Linked DNA regions of Solanum lycopersicum. The protein of the gene in region 2 interacts with the protein of the main gene of each other region in a pairwise test. Links are inferred from orthologs where the notes say so. Each region holds a gene or a part of one and is shown on either strand. Other genes may lie near its edges.

The links. The genes of interacting proteins can lie anywhere in the genome.
Region 1: the proteins of GWD (region 2) and mtDNA-binding protein WHIRLY2-like interact in binary tests that used the Arabidopsis thaliana proteins (3 or more experiments, as listed by UniProt). The link is inferred for Solanum lycopersicum from reciprocal best matches to the Arabidopsis thaliana genes SEX1 and ATWHY2.

The regions. Positions count from the first base shown.
Region 1 is NC_090810.1:38,043,471-38,047,458, reverse strand, and holds the start of mtDNA-binding protein WHIRLY2-like, read right to left. Parts: upstream 2,814-3,988; 5' UTR 2,602-2,813; coding exon 2,570-2,601; intron 1,742-2,569; coding exon 1,617-1,741; intron 1,533-1,616; coding exon of another isoform or gene 1,530-1,532; coding exon 1,432-1,529; intron 1,331-1,431; coding exon 1,238-1,330; intron 461-1,237; coding exon 366-460; intron 175-365; coding exon 101-174; intron 1-100. UniProt on the Arabidopsis thaliana protein: Single-stranded DNA-binding protein that associates with mitochondrial DNA and may play a role in the regulation of the gene expression machinery. Also seems to be required to prevent break-induced DNA rearrangements in the mitochondrial genome.
Region 2 is NC_090804.1:305,256-309,467, forward strand, and holds the start of GWD (glucan water dikinase), read right to left. Parts: upstream 2,815-4,212; coding exon 2,554-2,814; intron 1,895-2,553; coding exon 1,853-1,894; intron 1,736-1,852; coding exon 1,626-1,735; intron 1,530-1,625; coding exon 1,451-1,529; intron 1,357-1,450; coding exon 1,265-1,356; intron 1,184-1,264; coding exon 1,030-1,183; intron 1-1,029. UniProt on the Arabidopsis thaliana protein: Mediates the incorporation of phosphate into starch-like alpha-glucan, mostly at the C-6 position of glucose units. Acts as an overall regulator of starch mobilization.

The DNA of each region.
Region 1 (3,988 bases), on a different chromosome or scaffold from region 2:
TCCTTAACATGGACAGCTACCATTACAGAACAAATTGTGATGCATCTTGTGGGTTGGAAGCAAAATTTTAAAAAAGGTGAACATATAGACTGATACTTACTCAATGAAACGAAATAACCACTCCCATCAGCATTTGGCTTAATTGACAAACTCTTTCTAACTTGACCAGCATTACTGTAACATATAACCTCTGCTTAGTTATACAGTGATGAGAATAAAGAGAAACTAATAATCAGTAGGATGCAAGGATCATGTACTAAAAAAACGTGTGTGTGTGTGTGTGCACGCGCGCGTGTGTGTATGAGTGCCTGTAAACATGTACACTAAAAGATAGCCCTTAGCCAACAACTGCATCAGAAATCAACCTAGACAGCATTGAAGGATCATGAAAGAATTCAGAAGAATCTCTGGTCCCCATACTTATCAATGATCCAACCTCTGTTGCTGATAAAGCAAACAACTGCAATATGTTGAGTCATCTGTCAGTCAAATCGTACATCAGATATGTGAACATGTGCAAGAAAAGAAAGAGCAAGAGAGAGTGGTGAAACTAACATAGAGATGGATATTTATTTAACATCCAAATGGACACTTAAAAGAGAAAAATACTAATAACTCTAAAGAAAAACCAAGCAGCAAAATAACATAAACAAGAAATATACAAGCAATTTCTTCACCTAGTTATGAAAGACCACCTCTTAAGCATATTATAAACCTATAAGTTGGTGGCTCATGCTATGACCAAGTACTAAGCATCCAAACATGAACAATCAATCCTCTGTCAAAACTTGGGAATCTGCTCATTTACCATCAAAGAAGAACAAAAACTTAAAAGCCTTGAAGAGAAATAAAAGCTGGCATGAACTTCTTAAACAAGAAAATAATATCCTGCTGATCTTAATATCTGTCTATGTGTGCAAGTTCGGATTGATTTTGTTCAGCACTCATTATAAAGAATGGAAGTCTGTTGATTGGGAGGAACTATTGAGGATGAAAAGGAATAGCTGCTCATCTCCAGTCTTTGCAAGCTAGGCACCAGTGGATGTTACTTGCCACAGTTTCCCTCTTCTTTTATCTCATAAATGTAGAAAAATTTAGCTGTAACACTTGCGAGAATCCCTCAAAATAGTGATGCGAAGAGCTTTTCTGGGACAAATAAAGATCTAAAACTCGTTTCCTACTATGCTGGTGGAACTCAATAATAAGAGAGAACCATATAAGGCTATAAGCACATTACCTGCCTCTTTTCCCAGTCATATTTGCGCTCACCAACGGATGGCCAGAATGTCAACATAATGACACCTCGACGATTGAGTTTAACACCTCCAGACTGTAATAAGAAGAATGGATGAGTGGAAGCATCATTTCAACATCATAAAGAGAGGCAACTCCAGTTTCTAATTCTATTTAAAAAGATAATAAAGACCGTACATCCAGTCTATTAAATGTGGGCAGCCTAGGTTCAGCAGAAAGTGCTGCTTTGCCTTTAAATACTGAGTAGGGAGCAAACACTCGACCTTCCCGTTTTCCTGCTATCAAGAAATATGACAAAAAGATTATTATAGCATCAAGATTACAACTGAGACTTCACGAACATCTGAAAATAAAATGCATACCATCAGCCACAACATCCTGTCGAACAGTAGAAAAGGCTGCAAAAGTGTTGATGGCATTCTGCCAGATAGAACCTTTGACATCCTCTCCAGACAATTTTTTATGCAACAACTGATTCCTAATGTGTCTAGAGAAAAACATCATATTAAGAAGGTTCTTTTTCAAAAATTATCAACTTCACTTTAAAAAAATTCTATTCACACTCTGCATGACAAGCAGTAATTCTTTTTTCCCTACATTGTAAACAGTATTATGGAGTATCCAGCATCAAGAAGTAATAGTTGAAAATGACATCCCGGATTTTCTTGGTGAATGAGCAACAGATGAAAAGGTGTGTGTAATGTCCTCACCATGCATTTTACACAGTGAGCATTGCTACAAATATGGACCTATTTTTCTCTGTGTCTCCATATAACATAACATATGAATGAGGTCTTAATAGATTCAATAGTAATTTAAGCATGATCAACTTCCTTCAATTTATATGGGGTGTGTTCGGTTGTTCAAAATTTTCGGAAAAAAATATTTTTCTATGAATACAAGTACCTTAAAAATAATGAAAACAACTTCACCAGTAAAAATAGAAAAAACCACTTGTGCAAGTCACCATAAACCCCCATACCCACCCAACATTCACCTCCGATAGTATTTATCAAGATACTATTTTTTGAAGATAAATAAGAAAAGCCACAAATTTTCCATGTAAAACATTCGATATATCCTATTTTTAGAGTCATCGGCTTTTAAGTTATATTTAGCATCTATTCGTTTCATTAATCAGTATTCATTTCGCATCTATACAGATCCAACAGTAGAGAGAGAGATTCAAGTTTGAGCTTGGTAACTTACACTGTTATACATATGTAAAGAAAAGCTAGGGTTTAAGCAGGGGTTTAGAGAAAAACTTTTACTATTTTCGTGACAAAAGGGAAGAGATGGGGTTTAAGCAGAGAACCTGGGGTGCAGAAGCCGACTGACTTTCAACATCGTCGCAGTAAGGAGGGAGAGAGGCCTTCAAAGTTCAAATTGCTGCTTATTTCTTCTTCCTCGGACAAAATTTCTACTATGTGCTCTCAATTCAATTTATTTGGTTCATTTTACTTGGCGCTCCAACCATAAATTACTACTTGCTAGTAATAATATTTTATTTGAATTTTGAAATATAAAAATTAACATATAAATTGAGATATAAGAGCATTATTTAGGGTACACTTGGCAGGTACGTAATTATATATTGATATGAAATTATATGAGATAAAATTGGAGTTATGTTTGAATATCTAATTTGTTGAGCAGTTTTGCTGTTCAATATCATTAGTAACTATGTTATCATGTTCATATTTTGGGAATGTTTCATCACTCTTTTGTTACTCTTGCAAAAGATTATGTTGATATAAAATTCTGATTTTTTTTAGTTTTTAGCTAAAAACATTCTTAAACTATACCATCAACTTAACTATATCCTCAAATTATAATTTCACACCATCTTCACCTTACAAAGTCAAATGGACATTAGATCAATAATTTTTTGGTGGCAAACTCATAGTTGAGATAATCAAGATTCAGCTAATTTTGATCTCTAGTACTCGAGTTTTGTTTTTCATTATTAGAGGTAAAAGTCTCCAATCGACATCAATTTTTGCAGATTCAATGAGAAGAAAACATTTCAACGAATAGTGTTTTGATATTAAAACAAATGAAAAGTAAAAAAAAAATTGTTAATCAAAACGAAGATAATGCAAAACGTTGCTGCTAAAAAAATTCACAATATTTTATTATAGATGCATGTAGAATGAACAAAATTGGTTTGTTGAGGATGATTTAAGGATTTTTGTTGAGAGTAGTGTAAATTGAGGGATGTTCTTTGTGAAGTTGGGAATATAGTTTAAGGATGTTTTGATTAAAAACTCTGAGTTTTTTTCTTACAAAATATAAACTTGAAAATGTCAAATAATGATATGAAATTTTCAAATCAATCTTTTTGGAGAATTTGAAATTTCATCTCATGATTTCAAATAACAAGATGAAGTTACACGATCAAACGCCTACTTACGAAATAAACATTATTAATTATGCTTTATAAATTGTAACGACCTCTCATATCATTATGGGTAAACCAATAGTGAAGAATTTGGGTAAGAAAACTTTTGGAGTAGTGACTTGAATATTCCAGGTTAGGCTATCTCAGATGGAATATGAGTGGGGTAAAGTCTAGGACAATCCAAGAAAGGATTGAGTAAATTTTTTAAGTGTGGATTAGTTTTTTCATTATCTAAGATGTTAAGGAGTTCGTAGGGCTTTTCGATAGTGAATTCGAGTACGTAGAACTCCCGATATCATATTTGGCGTGAAGGGGGTAGTTTATAATATCAAA
Region 2 (4,212 bases):
GTTTTTATTGTTGCATTAGCTTTGTGCTCTAGCAACTCAATACATGTCATTGACCCTATTTTGGGTCTTGGGTGATGGCAAAATCTCTGAAACTATTCTTGTTCAATTGGAAATGGAGGGAAGAAAAAGAAGCAACATCAGTATATGGAATATGAGACCTCTTCATATTTTTTGGTCACCTGGACGAAGAGAAACATTGGATATCTTTATGTTGGGAGAAATTCATCAAACAATTTGAGATAATCTACTTTACAACTTGCTGCTTTATGGTGTAGTTTACTTATATAGATGATACAGACTTTTTGTTTTATTTTACTGGTTCCTACTTCCTGGCTATTAACAGACTAACTACACATTCTGTAATTATATGCATCCACACTGGATAATAATCTAGCCTTTCTTACCTTAAAAAAAGAAAACAAAAAAAAAAGAACTGGTCATACTCATTCATAGACTTTAGACTTGATTTCATGTCAAAGTTGGCTTACTGATTGTACTTGATTAAAATTTAAAGCCTAATTGTTGACTCTAAGACTAGAATTTTTAAAATTAAAACAACAATTTTATGGTAAACTTGAGCCACCACTAGTCTTGTACAAAATTTTCCCTAAAACCAACCCCACCGTATTTAGCATGGGCAAAATGCAAATCAGAAAGCAATGCCTTGACTCCTTAGTAACAGTATCTGCAACAGGGAGCAATAATAGTCCTATCACCTATGGCTTCCTATCCATGAACCAAACAACCAGTTGATATATTCTGAGAAAGCATGCAAATAACATCAACAAAGATTAAATGGTTGTTTGTGTTCATGGATAGGAATGCACAGAAATATAGTTGACAAGCTAAGTTCCATAGAAATCCTGAACTAGGGTTGAGAATTACAACATATGCCAATGTCAAAATGCTCGGTCAATAGAAAATAAAGGCTTGAGAATTTGAAATGATCAACTCAGTGATGTTAGCTACCAACAACTTGCAGTATGACTTCCCCAGAAAGGTGTGGGACTAAAGGAATAAGTTACTTGCCTTCTCTTTCTCAGGAGTGTAATTCTGTTTTCCCTTCCTTTCCCACCTCAAATATGATTGGATCTGTACAAGCTCCTCAGGAACTGAAACATCTGGACCTCGTATCTCTTTTCTTGATAATTTGACACGAAAATTACCACCATTATTCTTTATCCTGAAGAAGAAACAGAGGTGAAATCCATGCAGCTCTTTAACCATAATGCTATGCTGTTCCTTCACAAAGATACTCATTTACCATTTATCTCGGGCTTCATCATATATGAGAAACTCAATAGCTTCGATAGCAGTGTCCAGTATCTCCAGTCTCAGGATGGAGTTAGAGCCGGACTAAGAGTAAAATTTCAACAACCAAAAATCATCAATTTTGCATCATAACTTAATCCATTCATGTATGAGAGCAGCAAAACCAATTCCAACTTACTTTAACAAATGGAGTCCTAAGTGCTTTGTTCTTGTACACTTTGGTTCCATCCGGACAATCATTAGGAAGAGACCATGTTCTAAGATAATCATATAGAGAATAATATAAGGATGATTAGTCATCACAAGCTTAAGTCTCTCAAAATGATGACAGTTCAATTTGTAATTAAACTTACTCTTTCCCGAACTTTACTGCCCCCCAGTGCAAAAACAGTTTATCACTACCATTTGTAACTTGAAAATCCACGAAGGACGCATCATCTGAAGTGGGAGGCCTAACATCAACCTGTTATAGTGCAGAAGAAAATTTGTATGGCCAGCATAAGACATATAGGCTGACTCTTTTACAAGAAAGTCATTAATAAAAAATTAGTTTTGCAAAGGTAGTGTCCCACATATGTACCTGTAGCTCAATATTCCCTTCTAAACTGAACTTTTCTGCTAGCTGTTAAAACATTTAAAATAGGTAATATTAGAAAGATATTTGCACGGCGTCATGGATGCTGAGTTATGAGTCTTTTTTTTCCTTTTGAGAAAGATTCTGAGTTACAAGTCTTGTGCTCCATATTTACCAATAAATGACATCTGTCTTTTGTTTTCACCTCATTATACATTCCCATAGTACATAAACTATTCAGTATTTGTTTCCTATGTCGAACTCTAGTTTTATTTTTATTGGATATGATAGTACTGAAAGGAAAAATTAGACATCTATTCTCAATTATGATTTCATATTAGAACTTACAAGGATCTGTCATAGCAACAGATCTTCAAGGAGAGTCCCACTCCAGCAACAAATATAATGCAAGAATGAAATATTAAGAGAAACGAAAAAGGGACAAGATAAGTTCAAGTTATCTTATAGGAATCATCCGCATTTATGCAGAGTGTAACCAAGCTAAGTAGCCGGTTTCTAAGCAATCAAGCAGACGAAATCGGAAAGAGGAAGAGAACTGCCTATATGCAGTAAATGATGACCAAAACATTCAAGAAACGGGATAACTATGTACTAATAAATGAGAAAACATTATCCAGTTGAGGAGCTGATTGAATTGTAACTAGATAAAAATCACATCTTGTCATATAGGTAGGTTGGGCATTTACCTCAGAAGAGGTATCAGTGGTAAGTAGAGCATGAGGATAAGTAGAAAAAGCACGCTTCTTTCCCATTGGTATTTTTTTGTTTTTCTGCACTCTTAACCTGTTACCTCGAAACTCAGTTGATAAAGGTGATTTCGAGATCACTTGCTGTTGAAATAAAGAATTGCCTCCAACACAAGGAGGAGTGATTCTACTTTTATGTTCCAATACAGTTGAGGTTAGGAATCCCTGGTACAGCAAGTTATTCCCTAAGGAATTACTCATCTTCTCACACTGCTAATAAAATACAAAATCAATCAATACAAAAGCAATGGACCGTTCATGAATAATCAAATGAGTATTTTTTCAGTTTTCTTGTTGTAAAGTGCAACAAAATTTTTTGTGAGTTTTAAAAAGGAATCAACCAAATCCAGAATTCCTTCAAAGCAATACAGAAATATACTAATTAAATGTATATCGGTGATCAATCACATTTTCCCCACTTTTGTTTAGTTTTTTGTGTCGAATAGAAAAATGACCAAACGAAATATGCTATGCTGCAATTAGACGAGCTTGAATTTGAAAAATTAAGCTTAGGGTTTATATACATTAAACCATGAAAATCAACACCAAATTCGATCGAAAGACAAATTTTCAGATAAAAAAAATGTTGGAGTTGTCAGATCAAAGTAGAGTAGAAATTTACCTCAAATTCAGCTTAGATTGGAGAGTGGAAAGTGGTAGTGAAATAACGTAAAGGAAAAGTATTTGATATGATATGATATGATATGATATGATATTATATTATATTATATTATATTATAGGGAAAATGAGTTTTGAGATGAGTTATGGTGGTGAAGGATTGGTTATGGAATTGCGGGAGATGGAGCCGGCGTGGGCCCCGCGTACTAGAGCAATTTGAATGGTTATTTTTGGAGTTTTGTCGAAATTTCATTATAACCTCTTCTTTTTCTTTGATATTTTCTTCGAACTTTTTCACAAATCAAAAAGAAAAAATCATTTTATAATTAATAAAATTAAACAAGTAATTAAAAATTACGAGACTTCTATTCTTAGCTCTGGCTAATTGAATTAATTTTCAATGATTGATTTTCTTAATTCTTAGTGCATAAATTTTTTTTATATTATCTAGTACGAAAAAATTAAATAAAATAATTACAAATTTGAAGAGAGAGACTAGAAACAATATTTGTTATATAAATGACACCAACAAAATCTTTAGTAAATGGAATTGAGGTATTATTTGTGGCTTCTAAACAACTATATATACCATGGTTGAACCTAATAAGATAGGCTATGTAATTATTATTATATTTTTTTTTTAAAAAGGTATAATAATCCAATAAATGTTGAACTTGATCTTATTCAAAAAAAAAAGTGCGTGAATATTAAGGAACGTATATAAGAAAACTTTTCCAATAAACAGTACCCAAGACAAAAAGATAGAATTGTGGAAAGAAAAAACAAAATTAAAGGAAGAAATGGCCTATCAATTTTACAGATCTATAGGCAGACATTAAATGAGAGTAAGTCGTGGTGTCCCAAAATTTTAGCACACGATAATATATAAGAGTGAAAAAGACATTTTGACCCTTGAATCAAATCAAAAGAGAGAAAGTAATAGTACTCATTTATAAATTTATGAAGATGAAGCAGTTTCA